Oreochromis niloticus: one gene and its partner. The protein of the gene in region 2 interacts with the protein of the main gene of each other region in a biochemical or structural test. Links are inferred from orthologs where the notes say so. Each region holds a gene or a part of one and is shown on either strand. Other genes may lie near its edges. The genes, in order: grap2b and gab1.

The links.
Region 1: the proteins of gab1 (region 2) and grap2b form a complex in vitro, tested with the Homo sapiens proteins (2 studies listed by BioGRID and IntAct, with this or other methods). The link is inferred for Oreochromis niloticus from reciprocal best matches to the Homo sapiens genes GAB1 and GRAP2.

What each region holds. Positions count from the first base shown.
Region 1 is NC_031971.2:8,430,742-8,440,280, reverse strand, and holds the start of grap2b (GRB2-related adapter protein 2b), read right to left. Parts: upstream 4,461-9,539; 5' UTR 4,401-4,460; exon of another isoform or gene 4,353-4,400; intron 1,676-4,352; exon of another isoform or gene 1,612-1,675; 5' UTR 1,471-1,611; intron 1,428-1,470; exon of another isoform or gene 1,283-1,427; intron 1,274-1,282; exon of another isoform or gene 1,125-1,273; intron 997-1,124; 5' UTR 986-996; coding exon 908-985; intron 1-907. UniProt on the Homo sapiens protein: Interacts with SLP-76 to regulate NF-AT activation. Binds to tyrosine-phosphorylated shc.
Region 2 is NC_031967.2:38,053,458-38,062,767, reverse strand, and holds the start of gab1 (GRB2-associated-binding protein 1), read right to left. Parts: upstream 3,787-9,310; 5' UTR 3,235-3,786; coding exon 3,160-3,234; intron 1-3,159. UniProt on the Homo sapiens protein: Adapter protein that plays a role in intracellular signaling cascades triggered by activated receptor-type kinases. Plays a role in FGFR1 signaling. Probably involved in signaling by the epidermal growth factor receptor (EGFR) and the insulin receptor (INSR).

The DNA of each region.
Region 1 (9,539 bases), on a different chromosome or scaffold from region 2:
GATGGGTCCTTTTAAGCCATTTACTAGGCCAAAGTACCAGATGACCTAGACTGTGGAAACTGAGAATATTTTTTCACTCAGTTATGATTAGTCGTGTGTGTGTTTGTGGTTTGACTGTGTGAGATAGCTGTGGGTGTTTGTAAAGTTATTTGCTGATCCATTTCCTTGTATACCTTTTGTGTATGTCCACATGCTATACACCAATACACCGATGGAAGTGTTTTAATGCCGGGTGCAGTGGATGTACCTGCGCTACATGCTGCAGTGCAGAAATAAAACTGGCTCGGCCTGCAGCGGGTTACAAAAGCCAACACCTTTTTACAGGAGACCTCACTTTTAACAGCTTTTCTGAGAGGTTTACACCGGAACATGTTTTTCCATTGTTCACATGGTTTGAAACATATCATAACAATAAAGCACCTAGATTAAGGTTGCAGCTGTATATACTTGAACTAATGCTTCAGCAAGGTGCTTAGCTAACAAAAGCAATGTGTGAAAGGTGAGTCAAGAATTATTGTATCTGTTTGTCTGGTAGTTTGATGTTATTTGTGCGTTCACCTCTGCTATATGATTTTACTTTTTGATTCTGTCAAGAAGATATAAAGATTTTGTTGCAATGGCAACGTAAACAGGAAGGAAACTCGGACTTAAGCAGCAGGATGCAGTCGTGGTTGGCTGCACAGAGAACTGAAGAGGGCTTCAGAGAATAGTACAGTGCACCATTGTTGTACAAGTGTGATAAAGCACTAATATACATGGAAATACTCTGGATTATATGCAATATATATATATAAAACCTGACATTTGAATGTTTTTGCATGCTGACAACTTTTTATAACTTGTGTGAAGAGTGCTGTTGCTAAAAGCAAACCAAGGAAGTGTTTGCATGTCTGTGTGTGATCCTTACTTTCAAGCAGTCTCCTCTTTTGAAGCTCAGGTCATCCTCCGCATTAGCTTCAAAGTCAAACTTGGCCGTAGCTTCCATCGTAGACAAACCTAAGAAGGGATGAAGAAACAAAAGGTTAGAAGTACTCCTGTGTGCTCAGATAAAAATACTGAAGTGATTAATGAGCCGGGAAAACAGACGTGTGTAAGTCACCCATCAAAAGAAACATGGCACTGACATCAGTTGGTGCTCTTCTAGTATCTTAATGGACGGAATAATTCCCCACTCAATCAAGGACAGTCGCTACGTCCTTTCCGTGCATCCTTTACGACTACAACCTGTGTTAGCACCTCTACAACAAAATCCTTTAAGCGCCCGTAAAGCATATTTTCTCACCTTGAATTTTGTCCACACACACACACACACACACACAAAACAGTTTTATTTGAAGGGCTGCGCATTGTGTCTTCAGAGAACCAGGAGCAATGCGGCTGCTCGGAAAACAGGAGGGCAGCTAGCCATAACTCAAAATGACGACTTGCCAAGTACCTCATCAAAGAGGCAAAAATGTTAGGTTTACTCACCCCCCTTTGTACTGTTCTCCAGACAGAGCTGCGTTCATGCGGCTTACGAAGAGAAGTGAGAAATTTACAAAGAGAGGTGACGAACTCCTTGTCAGTTCACAGGAAACACCGTCACCTCTGGCCAGCATACACTCACATGCACTGAAATAGACACAGTGCAGAGATGCATAGAAACAGATAGGAGCCTTTCTATGCATCTGTTTATCTGTTGGCAAAGAGATCAGGGAAAACAAACAAAAAAAAAAAAACGCAGCAGAAGAAAATATTATAGTTCTATAAAGTTATTGCAAACAGTCAAAATCGACTGGATTTATTATAATATAGGTAAAATGTTTAGGTCATTATTTTATATGTAACTGTAAATCATGTTGACTAAAGTCTATTTACCAAACAAATCAAAGAAAAACAAAGCTGTGATAAAGGTTTTTTAAGTCTCTGTCTGTCACAACTGCCTGAGGTGTTGTTACACGTGTGTTTACCGACATACTATGACTGGCTTGTGGTTGCACCCAAGACATTTTAAGCACATTTGTCTTTCACCTGAAATACTTTTGTGCTCTCTGGCAAACTGAAGTATTTCATGTGTATTTTGTCTTTCTTTGGCTAGTGTTGCTTTGTCACTCTTTTCTCCCTCTGGTTTCACAGGTTGCTTCATTATACAGAGTTAGTTTTGTTTGGTTATACTTGAAATTTGCACAATACCAGCTTTGATTTTTTTTAATGTGGCCATTGCTGCTGGCCACAGTAATAAACTGCTTCTTGGATCTACAAAAACCCTCCCTTCCCACAGCTTGTCATTATGTGCCAAGTTTATTTTGTGCATTCTCTGTGTTTCTTGTGTCAGAGGTTTTCCACCAGACAAGGCAGGCAAGTAGCTTAGTATAGCTTGGATACGTGTTTGCAAGACAGGGATCAAGCAGTGGAGCACCTGAGGACTGCCAGATAGGAGAGGATGGGTTAGTGGCACTTTTAGAGGAGACTAGGGAATTAACTTAAGAAGGCAGCTTTATTGCTGTACTTGGAAACCCAAACTAAATATTAAAGAAAAAAAACAAAAAAAAAACAACTCTATTTATAATATGTTTGTATATGTGTGTTTTATACATGTTCTGTTTATTACCTTATGTGTGTCGCTATGTGTTACTTGTTGTGTTTGTAAATGACAGGTGGTGAGTGACAGGAGAATGGCGGCTAAGCTGTCATCCCTGTTGGACAACATCTCCCACCCCATGCATGAGACTGTGACAGCACTGAGCAGCTCCTTCAGTGGGAGACTGCGGCACCCACGGTGCGGGACGGAGAGATTTCGCAGGTCTTTCCTCCCCACTGCTGTCAGACTCCACAACAAAGACTTTAACTGATCAAACACACACATGTGCAATAACACTAAGTGCAATAATCTTCCTGGCATCGTTGTATTTTTTACTCAGTTGTATAAAGCATTTGTATTCTATTTTTATCTTATTGTATATTTTATTCTATTTTATTCTACTGTATATAGTATTTTATTTTATTCTATTCTGTACAGTTGTGTACTGTATTTATTCTTATTTTATTTTATTCTAATTTTTGCTTCATAACTTTTGCACTGTCCACTCCCTGCTGTGACAAAACAAATTTCCCACGTGTGGGACTAATAAAGGTTATCTTATCTTATCTTATCTTATTAAAAGTAGGAAGATTTAATTAGGGTGTTGTTGTTTGGAGGGACCAAACAGCTTGTGACCGCTGTGCTGTTGTGATTTATGTTGAATATTAAGATGAACTGTGGAATGGCAAAGGCAATCAATGTTGAGCAATACATGCTTAAGCTGACAGGATAAGCAACGCTGGAGTTATTGGATTTTATCAGTACTGCAGGTTTTCATTCATAACAGTGGCATCACGCCAAACCTGCTCACTGAACACCTCAATGACTTCAAGCGTAGACTTAGCCTCTACAATAAACAATGGTTGGACCAACCAATGCTGGTTGGAGGCCCCCTGCAGATGTTTTGTTAGGGCCCCAACAAGCTTGTAAATTGGTTGAAGTTCAAGTGTTTTTGTTGCTTTCATCATGATAGCTGATTGTCATGAATATTAAGCCAAGCTGCCATTAACTAAATCCAGCTGACAGTAATTTTACACCTTTTTATTTTTCCTCTTCGCTGAACAGGACTGGCTGTTGTTGACCAGTAATAGCTTGACCTTTATTATGCGACACTTTGGTGCTCAGTTTTAGTTTGTGTTGTGTGCATGTGCCAAATCCCCTTTCTATGGTCCCTGTTGCCCTAGTAAGCCTCATTCAAGGTCTTTACTCACCTCAGAGGAAGTGCTTTAGTTTGTGGTGTTTGTATGGAATTTCTGATCAAGCGTATTTTGGCATTATCTTGAAACTATGTATTTTTCCCCTTTTTTCCTCAGCCTGTAAAATCCCTAATGGTCAGACTGTCTAAGTGGTAAATTCCCCCATTAGTACCCCGTCACATTAAAATGGTTTTTCTGTCACATTAATTGTCACATTTTTTTCACCTAGCATGCAGAATAGTTTGCTTTAAAAATGCTTTTTAACAGACAGAGCTCTTTAATGCATTTTTGAATTGTATTTGATTGAGAAGAAACTCTGGTACTCAGTTGACTCAGTCTTCCAGCACATGTAACCCAAATAACAAAACCCCAACATGCTTAATATTAGTATGTGTTACAGCTCGGTGGGCCGGTGTGTTTGCGGTGTGGACCCAAATGCAGATATGTGAGAGAAGAACAGAGGTTTAAACAAAAAGCGAGCCTTTATTAGGCTGACTGCAAAACAAAGGGACAAGAAGACCTAAAGTGTGAAATAACTAAACTAACTATGAAAACAATGACGAGAGACATGAACATGGAACTGAACAGGTACATACAAGACATGAATGTGAAGAACAGTTGCGTGAAAAACTCTGAGGCCCGACCTGACACAAGGTAAACAGACAGACCAACTCTGAACGGAGGAAGACAGAGGACTAAAATACACATAAGGATAATGATAAAGATATGATATAATGAGAAGGATAATGAGGGGAGTGGAAACACCTGGGGAAACACAGCTGACACAAATGAACATGACACCACAAGGGAAGCAAAACTAAACACACTGACCATGGGAACACAAGACTTTCAAAATATAACAGGAAACATAATGGAACGTAGACATGACACACAAGCTTGACAACGTGGACACACACACGAAACACATGACAGACTGGACAGCCCCCTGACAGCATGATCTAAAAGTTGTTAATATCTTAGAATGCAAATTAGAAGATATACAGAGTATACAGTGGTTAGGCTGGATAGATGAATGGACATCCTTGGATTTTAACTTTTGTTTTCCTGGTAGGGTGCATTCTCCTGTGACTGGGGAATGCCCGTGAAGGTGTGCTGTTTGGCTGCATTGCTGAGGTAGGCAGTGCTTGTTAAACTAACATCCACATGAATGTTAGGGTTTCCCCGCAGAACTATGTCCTTCAAAAGATGATCAGAAATATTCACTTCATCTGCCGGTGCTTTTATTATTGTGGTTGATTGTTGGCCAAGAGCTATTTGCTAAATACACAGTCCTCACAGAGAAACACTACAAAGAGATGAAAGCATTGACTTCAATCTGGCAAAGCTGCAAATGGAAAGGACGGGGATTTGCAGAAGAAAATCAAATGCTTAACCAATCAGAGAAGAAAAAACATCACTAATTGCAGACTTTGCCGTAGCACATCGAACTGTATCAACAATATTAGTATATCAAAGAAAGCCACAGAGGCACTGACATTTCATCAGTCCACCTCAGCTTCAAACTCAACAGGGGAAGTTTAGCTTCTGTGAACTTTTCCACTGATGTAACGATGACCTATTAAACATTTCTCCAGCAGGTGAACTGCGGTTTGAACTTTTTCCCACAGCTGGAGCTTCTGCTGTGGTGCAGCCGATGCTCTCACAAACAGCATGCATGTGTTTAACTTTATTTACATGTGAAATAATTTTGTTTCCCAGGTGACAATGCTATAAAAATGAACTTGGCAGGAGACGTGAGCTCTGAGGAATAACTGAGTGACAAGTGCAATAATTGAAGATCCTTTATTATTCTTTAATGTTCATTGTTTATTCTTGTTTGGCATGTTTGTACAGTCTGTTGTTGTTTGTCCTAGTTTCCCCCTGTGCCCCGCCGTGTCAGGTTTGTATGTTTGAATTTGTCATCTCTGTTTAGTCACTTCCTGTTTTACGTTGGTAGTGTTTTGTCACCTGTGCTTTATATTCCCTTGTCTTGTTATCCCTGGCCTTATTATCATTTATATTTACTGCCTTCATGTCCCCTTGTCCTTTGAGTCATCGTTTTGCTGTGTGTTCCTAGTGTTTCCCCTCTTGGTGGAATTATTCCTTGTGGGTCCTGGTCTTTTGCTTTCTATCATTAGACTGTATTTTCCTTTCATCATTCCTGCATCAAATGTTCGCCTTTGTCCCCTGCATTTTATTTGTGTCTGCAAACAATGACCACTCTTTACATAGCTGACAGGAGGCTTTATTCTTTCTAGCTTATTAGGGACATCATGACCATTTGTTACCTTAATGGGCTACCTAATCTTGAAGAATGATTTGGGTATAACTGGGATATCTTGGTTATCTGAGTCATGGTGTGAACATATATGCTCCAGAATGTTTTCATTTTTAGTGCTGCCATCAGGGATGAGCACCATGCTCTGGTTTGTGTGCTCTGACATTTTTTTCCTTATGCAAAACTTCAGAGGCCTAAATTACATTGTTTTTCCTATTTTTCCATCCATTATGCAATGTGATGGTGGGTGCCATCACATTGTCCATGGCTCCTCAGAAGCTGGTATGTCTTCCTCTGAGCTTCCAGCGCCTTGTTCTTAAATCAGTCCTTCCTCCACCTCATCTGCTGACCGCTCTGTCTGCCTCCACTTCCACAATTTTCAATTTTGGGAAAATCCTTTCTGCCTCACTCTTCCCTCTGCTTCCTGAAGTGGGGACATATGTTGAAAATGTGAAGCCGTAAGTCCTGCTGTCGAAAAAATTAGATATTTTGCTAAGAATCTACCAGTCAGTCACAAGAACCAACTATAGAAGCTTTGCATGATTCATAGTTTCAAATAACTCTTTTACCAAATGGTGGGCTTTGGTAAAGCCAATTAGTTTATCCTCTCCTTTTCTTTAAAATCACCCTTCCTTTAAGCCAGGACTGTGTGCCTGAGATGACCATACTATGGCAAAATAGGAATTTTGTACTTGGTCTTGTTCGACATCTGAAGTGGATGTGTTTGCAAAATGTAAAGACTGAGTGTTGCTCTGTGTTTGCCACATGGTGGCAGCAGACTTCAGGGAAAAAAGGTTGAGATGTTTTTCAAGTCAGTAAAGACCATTATAGACACAAACTCAGAGAAACACAAAGTGACACTGCAGATCATGAACCAGATCATTTTTGTGCTTATTTGGGTTTCATTTGATTTTAGGTAATAAGAATATGAGAAAATATTCAATTTGTTGGCAAGAGAGGCCTCCCAATTTACCGATTTTCACTTCAAGCCAAATAATTTATCTAAAATATATTGTGTTATTTATTTATAACTGCATATACGGAAGAATGAGAGGAGAGTAGGATCAGGTAGGAGGAGAAAATTTGTGTCAATAAATAACAAGCCAGTGACATGTCAGTATCTTTCTTAGGCACAGATTAGGTTAAATTCTGAATAGTTTTCAGGTGTATGATGTCACAGATATGGATACAATTCACCCTGATTGCTGAGCTTTTTCATTTGCATGCTTGTAGCACAAAATCTGTGCTTTAGCACTGGGGCACTCACTGTTCTGCTGCTATTATATCTCTTGTGATGCTATCTGGCCACCTTTTGATTCGCTTGGATCGGCTGGTGAGAGCAAAGATGCCAAACTCAAGTGGCATGAAATCGCTGCACTGATGGATGCAGTGATTTGTCTCTGTCCTTTTAAAGGGCACCACCGTGTTGTCTGATAGAAATGACAATAAAATGTCAAATAACTACAAGACAGAGCCAAAGAATCAGAGAATAAAAAGGACTGATGCTACCAAATCAGTTCATGCTGCTGCTAGGAGCTCTGAAATGCACTCATTGGAAAAGCTGGGGAAAAGAAAAGAACTTTGCACTAAAAGTCATCAGAATGCTTCAAATGGGAACCACATCTGTACTGTTTTTTGTGCTGATTGTTCCAGGTATATGTGAGCTGAGCCAATCTCAGCTGTTTCACGGTGAGAGGCAGGGGACACCCTGGACAGTTCGCCAGTCTGTCACAGGGCTAACACATAGACACAGACAACCATTCACGCCCACGGGCAATTTAGAGTTTCCAGTTAACCTATTCCTACTAACTCCTTGTCTTTCCAATGCTGGAGGAAGCCAGAGTACCTGGAAAGAACATGCAAACTCCACACAGAAAAATCTCCAGCCTGGTGATGGAAGTGAAGTCAGGGCCTTCTTGCTGCGAGGTAACAGTGCTAACCACCGTGCTGCCAATTTTAAAGCTTTTCTTCTTCTTTTTTTTTTTAGCTTGAAGTGACCAAAAATACACCAAAATGGATACATTTAAACATAAATAGTCTTGTACAGGTGATTTCTACTTTTACAACCTCTGGCTGTTTTTTTTTTACATTAGCCTGAATAAATGGCTTATTTATCCATTCAGGTGTTTTTGAGCCACTAGTGTGGGTCAAATCAATAGAAACTATTGATTAAAACGAACCTGAAACTAAAACTGTGAAACTGTTCAATCCAAAAGTGGTGACAGAGTTCAAGGGAATTCTTAACAATATCACGAGAACGGTTTGTGATGTCAACACATTAGCCCAGGCTCCTGCAGAGACAGGTGCCTTCTGCCCTTTAAAGGGTCAAATCTCCAAACACTGAAAGAGTGAAACAAAGAGATCAATATATGGTCCGCATAAGAAGCAGAGGTCATACAGAGGTCACAGGGTGCCCTGAGAAATGGTGACTTGATGCAAAAATGAGTGCACAGTATGCATGGTTAGCACAATTGCCTCATAGCAAGAAGACTCCTGGTTCAAATCCCAGCTGAGGCCTTTCCGTTGGATTTTGCACGTTCTCCTCAGCCTACATTTGTTTCCTCTGGGTACTCTGGCTTCCTCACTGTCCAGAGATGTCCATTTTAGGTTAATTGGTGATTGTAAATTGGCCATGGATGTGAGGTAGATAAAGTGGTTGCAGCACTGTGTGAGTGTATAGTGTGACTTGTAGCTAAAAGCACTTGGTATGCTACAAAGAAAGGGCAGACGGTACAGATAGCCTAACAGAAAGGAAGTGCTGAAGTAGAGTACATATGGAAATGCAGCTGGGGCCAAAGCAAGCAGATTCTGCCACCACCAACACACTGTTGGTTTTCCTGTCTCTGTCTCTCACTCTGATATTCACAGTCGGTCTCAGTGGTTGGCCTGCCATGGATGCTCAGATCCCCATGTGGTGTTAGCCGGGCATTTCATCCTGCGTCTAGGCTGAAAGAAAATGTGATTTTAAAAAACTGAAAAAAAAAGAAGCAGCGCCTAAACAATCGGCATTCCTACCATGAGGGGGCCGATAAATGGACTCCATGCAACCTTGCAGATGCTTATGTGCATGATTTTTTATTTATTTATTTTTATAATGCTAAAAGAATCATTTGGTAGCTGTTTCCAAGGTGACCTGCAGCTGTACATGGATCTGTTGTTTTGCAGCTTATTATGCAGGATCAAGAAAAACAAAGGGGGTACAGGTGTAATAAGGCATTGTGTTTGTGTGGGTGTGTGTGTGCCTGCATGTGTACGTATTTGTTTGTGTGTGCGACACACTGTTGACTGCATTTAATGGCCTGGGCCATGAAATATCCCATCTAGTTTCATGACAGAGCTCATAAAGCTCTGTTTTCAAAGATGGAAAGGACTTGTACATGGCTCAATGCAGAGCTGCCATTCAGCATTAATGGGCCTGTTAACTCTGCATGATGTCCGTGACTGTGTGTGTGTGTCTGTGTGCATTCGTGCTTGGTGACAGTCGCATCTTTTAGGTGTTGAGGTA
Region 2 (9,310 bases):
CTCACAGCTGTAAACACAGTGATTCAGATCTGCTTCCAAATAAAACAGTTCCTGCTTTGCCCATGTTCAGCCTAAAGTTTCATACACAGACAAATGTAAGGTATAGGACCCAAATTAGAGTGAAACAGGATTAGCTTTGCTGTATTTCATTTAAATCATAGGTTAGGAATTTTTCAACTTGAAAAACTGAAATCATGAATAACTCTCTCGAGGTGAAATGTAACATTTCAGGTGTACCGTGGCTGACTGAAACTTATCTTGTAGCATCCTGCTACGCATTAATCGGATGCAACCGCATAATGGAATGGAATAAATGTCAAATATAAGAGCCATTCACACCAGCAATTTAGACAGATCATTGTATCCCATTATCCTATCGAGTGCCATAAATGCTACATACTTTACAGGCCGTGGCTAAGTAACGTTCAACTCTGTGGGTGCTGCTGAGTGGTGTTTGAGCATCTGTGGTGCTGGGATGCATAAAATCAGAGCTCTTTATTCAAACCTTTCCAAGGCTAGGTTTTGAACTTGTCTGTAGAGCACCACTGCACCATTACATTGATGGAGAGCAGGACTTTTGGAGGTATCCAAACTGTGATATATATCCAAGAGAGGGCCTTTGCAGAGCCAACTCTTTCTTCAACTGTGTTTGACCTTCTGGGTGTGTGTGTGTGTGTAAAACATGTGTTATTGTACTCAAGGTTTCAAAATTTACCTCATCATTATCCCTGGTTTGCTTCCAGAGAATGTGTGTGTGTGTGTGTGTGTGTTTTCAAATCTTCTAAATCTTCAGGGAGGCCCTCATCTTCTAACCAGGCATAGCTGAGTGTGATTAGTTTATTACATAACGCACACACAGCTTTCAACAGTACAGGGAGTGTGTGACGAAGTACACTCCATGAACTTTACCCACTATACATGAACAAGCACACACAAACTGTCTGCTTCTGCCATTGTAGGGGACTGTGCATGTTTGTGTGTTTAAGTGTGAGTGTGTTGATATTGGAGACACAGCTGGCCAAGCAGTGTATGCACACATTTCATTGTATATACCATCATGACTGAATATATACACAGACTCAACAATGGTCTCTCTGTTTGGAGCAATTTTCTTTTTCTTGCCGTCTCGCCTCTCTGCGTTTTCGTCTCTTGTCTTCTTCTCCCTTTTCCTCCAGCTCTTCTTCTTTGATTCCAGTGGATGTGCACGGTCTCCTTAATTTTTAACCAAGCAGTAAGAAAGTGCAACTCCAGCACTCCACTTTCTTTGAAATCTGATTGTTCCCTCCTAAAAACGTTCCCTGCGATGGGTCTACTGATGTCAGCTAAGAAGAATTAAATTGAAGTCTGCCTAATTAATGCTGGCACAGTTTCTCTGTGCTTTTCGCCGGCCTTTTAGTGATGCTTTGTTTCAGCTATTTCATCAAAGAGCCGTCTTCTCACGTAAAAGCTTGCTGGTTCAAATCTGGAAATTGTTCAGCTTTCCCTGAGCAGATTCTGGTATTGAAGGCAGCTTCACTTCCTATCACTTTTTCTTCTAGACTATTTTTTATCCTTCACTTTCCCTGCACACACACACACACACACACACACACACACACACACACACACACACACAAAGACAGACAGAGAGAGAGTGGGGGCAGGAGGAAAGGAAAGCATGTGATCATAGGAGAGGAAGAGAGAGCACAAGAATGAAAGAGAAACACAGAGAGAGGTACACCAAACATTTGTTTAGAAATGGAAAGAATAAAACATCAAGGGAAAATATGGAAGGAGAGATGAGATTAGCTCAACTCACTGGTAAGGTATGCCAAATATGCGGTGCATGCATGTGATCCTAACTGCCTAAGCTGCTTCTTTACTGGAATAAAGCAGCCAGTGGTGCCACTGGACACACCAACTTGCATGAATTCATTAATCCATCCTTCCACTTATTCTACATAGTGAAGGAGAATTCAGGAAAAAACAAAACTGGTCCAAGTCTCTGGTATTCATTACAGGCACAGAGCCAGGTTGTCAGGTTTGGGATTTGAAAAATGCTAAATAACATTTTTGTGGCTTACATGTAACTGGAAACAGTTGTTCCTTTTGACAGCAGCTAGAACTGTCCACTTTGTTCATTTTACATGTTTATCAGATCACAAGTTACATTGTAGCAATGTTGTAGCTCATCTTTAAGTCAGTTATGTTTCTAATGACAAGTTGTATAACAGTTAGTTTGTAGGACTAATATATCAGCTAAAGATCAGCGTATTTATCTGTGTCACATCTTTGTTTTTGTTTTTTCAAAGATAATGGGATTAAGGCTTAACATTTTTGGCTAAGATGTATGCATTTTACATAAATTCATAGAGAAAGGACTCACAAATAAATTCACCTACAATACGATACAAATACAAGACAGCTACAGATGTCACTTTAAGGATATTGACTGCTGTGCTAGCTGTAATTAAAAGTCTGCTTCCTGACTGAAGTAAACAAACAGCTAGCTTGCACGCTAATATGCTAACTGTAGTAGAAATATTGTAGCTGTGCTAAAGATATAGCATACAATCGAGCTGTTTTTCTTTTTCTCTAGATTTAGCTTGTGTATTAGCTGTATTCTGAATAGGGCCAAATAAATAATGTGTGAATTCTCATTTTTTAGAAATAAAAATCTATCCATTTGTTTACGAATCCACTGCAAATCCAGTTCACGGTCATGGTGGTGATGGAGCCTATCTCAGCTGTCTTAATGTGAAGGATGGGGTAAACCATAGACTTGACTTTGTCCTTCCACAAATATTCTCTTTATTTTATAATGTGGTAGTACAAAGTCAAGTAACATTACAGTGTTGCTTCCTGTCTAGTTGACAGGTGTGTTAGGATGGATAGTTTTTATTGTTTTATAATCAAGAGTGTGTAACTGTAGGAAATGACTCACTGTGTAAACACTGATGAAACTGAGACGAATCTTCAAACTTAATTAAATGCTACAGAGACAAACCTCCATGAACAGTTAGTAATACTTCTGTAGTTGTACTCCTGATTAAAAATCTTTGTACAGCTTTAGGATACTTCATATACCCACACTGGACATCACAAAGATACAGAACATATGCACAGTTTTTTGTATGTTTCATTTTTTCAAAATGTTTCAAATTCAAATAAAATACTCACATAGCGCCTCAGCTTTTTCTCTGGGGGAGACTTTCGCAGCCACCCTTCACACACCACCTCCCCTGCTCCGCTCATCCCGATGCCAACAAAAATGGCTCCAGCAGCGCTTCTTTAATTATCAATCAACCAATCAGATGGACCTCAGTTGATCAGGATGCCAATAATGTGTCAAAGCAGGCAACCATTCAGTTGATCACCATGAATTTCCAACAGTCAGGTACATTTAACCAATCAAATGTCACATGGGTTAATTAAACGTTTCAGTAAGTCTTCTGTTTTGTTAAAAATGATCAATTCCAACCAGATTCGAGATCAGCTGATTTGCCTTTAAATTGGTAAACAAGGCATCCAAGCTTCGCACCAGTCTGAGGTCCAGTCAGTTGATCTGTACATGTGTAGGTCAGGCTTCCACTTGTCAATCAGACTTTTAATAAGTTAAGGTTCCCAGTCTGTTTTTAAGTAAAATCCTGCTGTAATGAATCAGTTGAGCAGTTTCTATCCACACATGGAAGAGCCTCTGTTCACCCGTCGACGCCTGAGTCACACCTCCTTTTGAGAAAGCTTCAACTTCCCAGCAGTCACTCTTCCCTCCCTCCTCCCTCCTTTCTCTCACTCTCTCGCATTTTGTGGTTGTGTGATAACTGAACACAATGCCTCAGCTCGGACATTCCTGCTCTCCTCTCCACCCACTTTTCCCTCCTCCTCCTCCTCACTCCTCCCATTCTCCTCCTGTTCCGTGTAACAGGAAACTCCCCCTGTGGATATGGATGCAGCTTTTTTTTGGAAAATGTGCGAGGGAAAAGAAAGATGTCTACTTTAAAATAAAGTGAACATGGCATGGACATAAGTTGAATAAACTGATGGATAAATTAGATTTCTAAATATAATAAGCATGAGTATGGGTCTACTATGACAGACTAGACTTTTGATATCAACAAAAGAAAACATATGTTCAACAAAACAAGAAAAAAAAAACTTCTTTCCTTCAACAGCATCTATTTGGTTTGTTTTTTTTAATTTCTACTTAAAAAAAGATGCATACATTCAGTAACAGCTCAACAGCCATTATGAACAACCTTGGGGTCTATTGATGATTATATCTTAATCCATGTACCTTGGTATCTCCAGGTATCTTGTGTGAAAGAGCACTGAAAGTTGTTTAAGGTTTAGGCTTAACCCTAAGTTGATCAGTTTCCAGAGTTCCAAGTACACTTGAAATTAAAGACTTCTTTAAAATATATTATATTGGTAAAAGGGAGGCTACAGCACCCTCCAGTGCTGAAAGTCTCAAACTAAATAGTAGATGAAGTCCACTTTCTTCAGTTTCTTCTCTTGTAATAACTTCAGTTTACATGGCTTGACTATTTCTTGTATTATACCTTATATTTTATTTTTTTAATTCTTAAGTTATTTTTTTTTATAATTGAACTGTTTTCAAATCAAAACCTACACATAAATTGATTTATTGTCAATATTATCTTTATATGATGCTCATTTATTTATTCCTTTCTTATATTGCAGTTGAAGTACATGTATTATTTCTGTTAATAGTAATTTGCTTGACATAAAAAACAAACAAACAGAAGCTTTATATTTAAAAAAAAAATGGCACAGATAATTTTCCAAAAGTTGATTCTGTTCATCTGGACGTAGCGTTTTCAGTGGGAGAAACATTTCGTCACTCATCCAAGTGAGTTCTTCAGTCTCAGCTGACTGCAGGTCTTTTAAACATGTAGTAATTCCCACCATGATGACCTCATGGTGGGAATTACTACATGTTTGATGTGGCAGACTTTTGCCTCAAATGCCTTTTTAGGACAAAACCCCAAATGGGATTTGTATCTCCAACTATAACTGAACCAGGGACCTTTCATTGCCAAGCAAATGTGTAAACTACAACAGCTCAATAGTGTACTAGAGCAGCTGAAAGTTGATTCTTAAGTTATTACTCCTTTACTAAATATAGTATTAATATCTTATAGTATCATTTTTCTTTAAAACTGGCAATTGTTCCCTCAAACACCTAGGAAAAACTCAGGTTGTATGAGTTGTACTTCTGTTTTGTGTGACTAGGTGGGAGAATTAGAACTTGCTGTACTTTTGTCAAAGAAAATCATGCATTATTAGAAGTATAAGGTACAACAAAAGGCATTAACACACCCCTGAACAGTTTCAGGCTTTTGAACTAAGCACTTGTAACCAGCTGGATGGTCCCTCTTATCTTTAGTTCAGAGGTCATCCAAGTTTTCCAAAAGTAATTTCAAATTTCAATTTCTCTGACCTCAGAACAATTTTACATGAGTGATTATATCCATTATTATATCACTTTATTTTAAATATTTAAGTCTGTATAATTTTATGTTAAGGAACACTGTTCTTAAATTCTTCCTCCGTTTGTAGACTTTCTTTTTTGTTGTGTTTTTTTGTGACCTCCTGGGTGAGTCATCAGTGCAGTCTTGGAGTAATTTTTGTACGCTAGCTGCTTCTGGGAAAGTTCGCCACTCTTCAAAGTTTTCTTCTTTTGTGGATAATGACTCTCATTTAGTTTGGTGTGGAGTCCTAAAACTGTAAAAACTGCTTTGTAACCTTTTCCAGGCTTACATTTTCACATAGGTTTGGATATCATTTTTTTAAAAATCGTGATTAAAATGAAATAATGATTTAAATGATATAAAAACAGTTTTTTTCTAATATACTTAGCTTTAAGTGTGAAAAATATCCAAAAAAAAAGGGTAAGCGGCAAAGACTTGTTCACAACTGTATATGTATTTGTGACAAAAATAAGTGGACTTACCTGCTGTGGGGACCTCTTGTGAATAAGGAAGTGGCCAAAAGTAGGTTCGTTTTGTCATTTCTTAAATACAAGAGGAGAAAGAATTTGTAGGAATGAAAAATAGTACAGGGAGAGAAACAACAATGTTTCTGTCAGACAATGTAAAAATACACTGACATTATGTGGCCATCTGTTTAGCTAGTTATCAGTTTGTGTTTGATACAGAGTGACATATGGCTATTTACTGCCATCTGGTGTTAGTTATACAGAACTGCAATTAAAGTCACTGTTGTGTTCTTGTTGTTGTTTTTCTGTTGACAAGAAAAACAGCTGTTGATATTTGTCTTTTTCATAGCCATTTTAGGATTTTCTTGTTAAAGAAGGTCTCTCAAAGATTTAGACACCAAAGTGTCAAACTGACACTGACTGTCTCTTGGATTATTAACTGAACATACTTGAACTGATTGGCGCCGTAGGCAAAACACAGGGGGACCATCCAACCAGTGTTCAGCACCAACTCTGCAGATATTGAAAATGAAAAATCCTCCAACGCTTAGAGATAGGGTGAGAAGTTCGGCCATCCGGGAGGGGCTCAGAGTAGAGTCGCTGCTCCTCCACATCGAAAGGAGCCAGTTGAGGTGGTTTGGGCATCTGACAAGGATGCCTCCTGGGCGCCTCCTGGGTGAGGTGTTCCGGGCATGTCCCACCGGGAGGAGGCCCCGGGGCAGACCCAGGACACGCTGGAGAGATTATATCTCTCGGCTGGCCTGGGAACGCCTTGGTGTTCCCCCGGATAAGCTGGAGGAGGTGGCTGGGGAGAGGGAGGTCTGGGCTTCTCTGCTTAGGCTGCTGCCCCCGTGACCCGGCCTCGGATAAAGCGGATGAAGATGGATGGATGGATGGATGGATGGATGGATGGCTCACCCAACAATATTACATTTCCTATGATTTTTCATCTGATATGTACTGCTTCATTTCCACGGATATAAAATGAATATTGTTGCACATTTAAAAAACAAAAAAAACCCTGCAAGTAAAGGGTGGACTGGTGGGGCGTGGTGCATTACTTCAATGTGACTCTTATGGCAGAGTCACAGTTTTTTGCATATCAATTTTAAATATATTATTAACTAAAAATACACCTGTGAGAAATAATAATAGGTCATTTGGTCGAAAGCAGTGATTCGATTCTTCTTGATATACACATATTCACTTTGTGTTATTTTCATGATTAAACACCCCTGCGAGAATCAAAACAAGAAAGCTCATATTTGAATAAAACACGAGGGCAGCTGTGATGACCTAAAGTGCATTACTTGATTTGTATACACATGGATCGTTGTTTGTTTCAAAGTTATTTGAATTATGAAAATGTTCTGAAAAAATGAGTATCATTTGCATGGCTTCATTCTAGCTGCATGATTAGCTGGTGGTGATCATTTACAAAGTCCTTCTAAGAGCACATTTCAGCCATCTAGAAGCAAATCTTTGTGGTTGAGTTAAATTTCTACTATACGTGTATTTTCATAACATTGCAGCTTTTCTAATCTCTCAATCCAGAGTGCCGTCATGGACACACCTTGGCTCGTGTAACTGACAACACTGAATAAACGTCATGCTAATTGTTCTCTGGCCTTGTGGGAAAAGGGGAAAACAAAGAAAATATAAAGGCCAACGTATTTTAACCGTGTAAAAAGATTCAAAGAACGAACTTGAATTATAGCATGTGTACTCCTGTACTCCTCCCTTCACCTATTACAAAAACACTCATTTTCTAAAAGAGGTGGACATTCGAATCAGACATTTACAAGAGTGTCTCACAATAGGAGGAAGATCAGACTACTGACAAAGAGAGTCTTCTTCTTCTTTTTCTTCTTTTAGCTGCTCACTTTAGTCACCACAGAGCATCCTCCTCAATCCTCCATCACTTCACACTACTTACAAGGGAAAAGTTCTTTAAACATAAAAAAATAAAATAAACAATATTGTCACAACTAAACAATTATAGAATATTTCTCTGTTTTTACATCTTTAGTTTTTCATTCAAGACATAATTAAATCACAATGTTCTGTATGGTTTCAATGTAGTTTTATTCTATCTTTGAATATAATTTTCATATCTTGAAATGAAGCGGTGGAAAAGAGATACATTTTGCTGCAAGTGCAGGGGATTGGTTAACAAAGTAGGACAGATGAAAATTGAGTGATGTCATGAAACCGCAATTTCAAAAAGACTGAGTACAAAAAAACAAAAAACAAACATATTTTATCCACAAAAGAGCCAGAAACCATAAGAAAAGTTTAAAGTGAGACAATTTGTAATTTCATGAAAAATATTAAACGTTAAATGGTAATAAAAATAATATAACAAGACCATCTTAGACGGGCATATTTTCACCAATCTGGAAAGAACTGCATATACAATTTGTTGAACAATCTAAGAATACTGTTTCTCAATATGAAATTGCAAAGACTTTGAATATCTTGTATGATGTACATAATATCATTAAAGAAACTGTGAAATTTTGAATTAATGGATCAAGGTCAAAAATCTATATTGGAAAATTAGGACAAGGCCATGTGTTCCTGCCATCAAATTCAAAATCAGCTTATTTTGTTTTTACAGTGGTACATTTTCTCAGTTTGACATTTGATATGATTTTATGTTTTATATGTGATTGTTATTTTATATTTTCTTCCAGATGTCAGTAATCTCATCCACCTCCAATGACTCTCTTTCCTTGATCAGCTATTCTCTTCCTTTGAAAATACAGTGTCTTGTCTACAGACCAAGTTCCTTCCGTTTCATCTCCTTCAGCATCACCAATATCCTCCTCCTCCTCTGCACACTTATCCTCTACTATGGTCTGCAACAAAGGTGGAGAGGGCACTCTGTCTCCTCAGCATCAACAGCAAGTCATTCAGACAGTTTCACATACCACATAGTCACTATGGAACTAATTTATAGTTTTGGATGTATCCTCATTTGTTTCGCTAACTACAACCAAGATTTAAATATACTTTTAGTGGGGGCCCTTATGCATTTGTCCAACTGGTTTGGCGAGACTTCACGTCTTGACCTGTGTGGAGCGCTACCTGGCTGTTGGTCATCCCATCACCTTCTTGGGACTGAGAAATGAAAGAGGAATCGGAATGAGAAATATATCTAGTGGCTGTGCTTGGCTGCTTTCTATGTTTGGGACAGGTTTGGCAATAAAAGAAGACATCTTTTTCATTGTGTACTTCTGGCTCCATATAATATCCATAATAACTATATCTTTCTGCAGTCTTTGTGTCATGACCCTGGGTCATGTTGACCCAGCATTCTTAGTTTTCGTGTGATTTCCCCTCGTGACTTTACCCTCTGTGTGCCCCTCT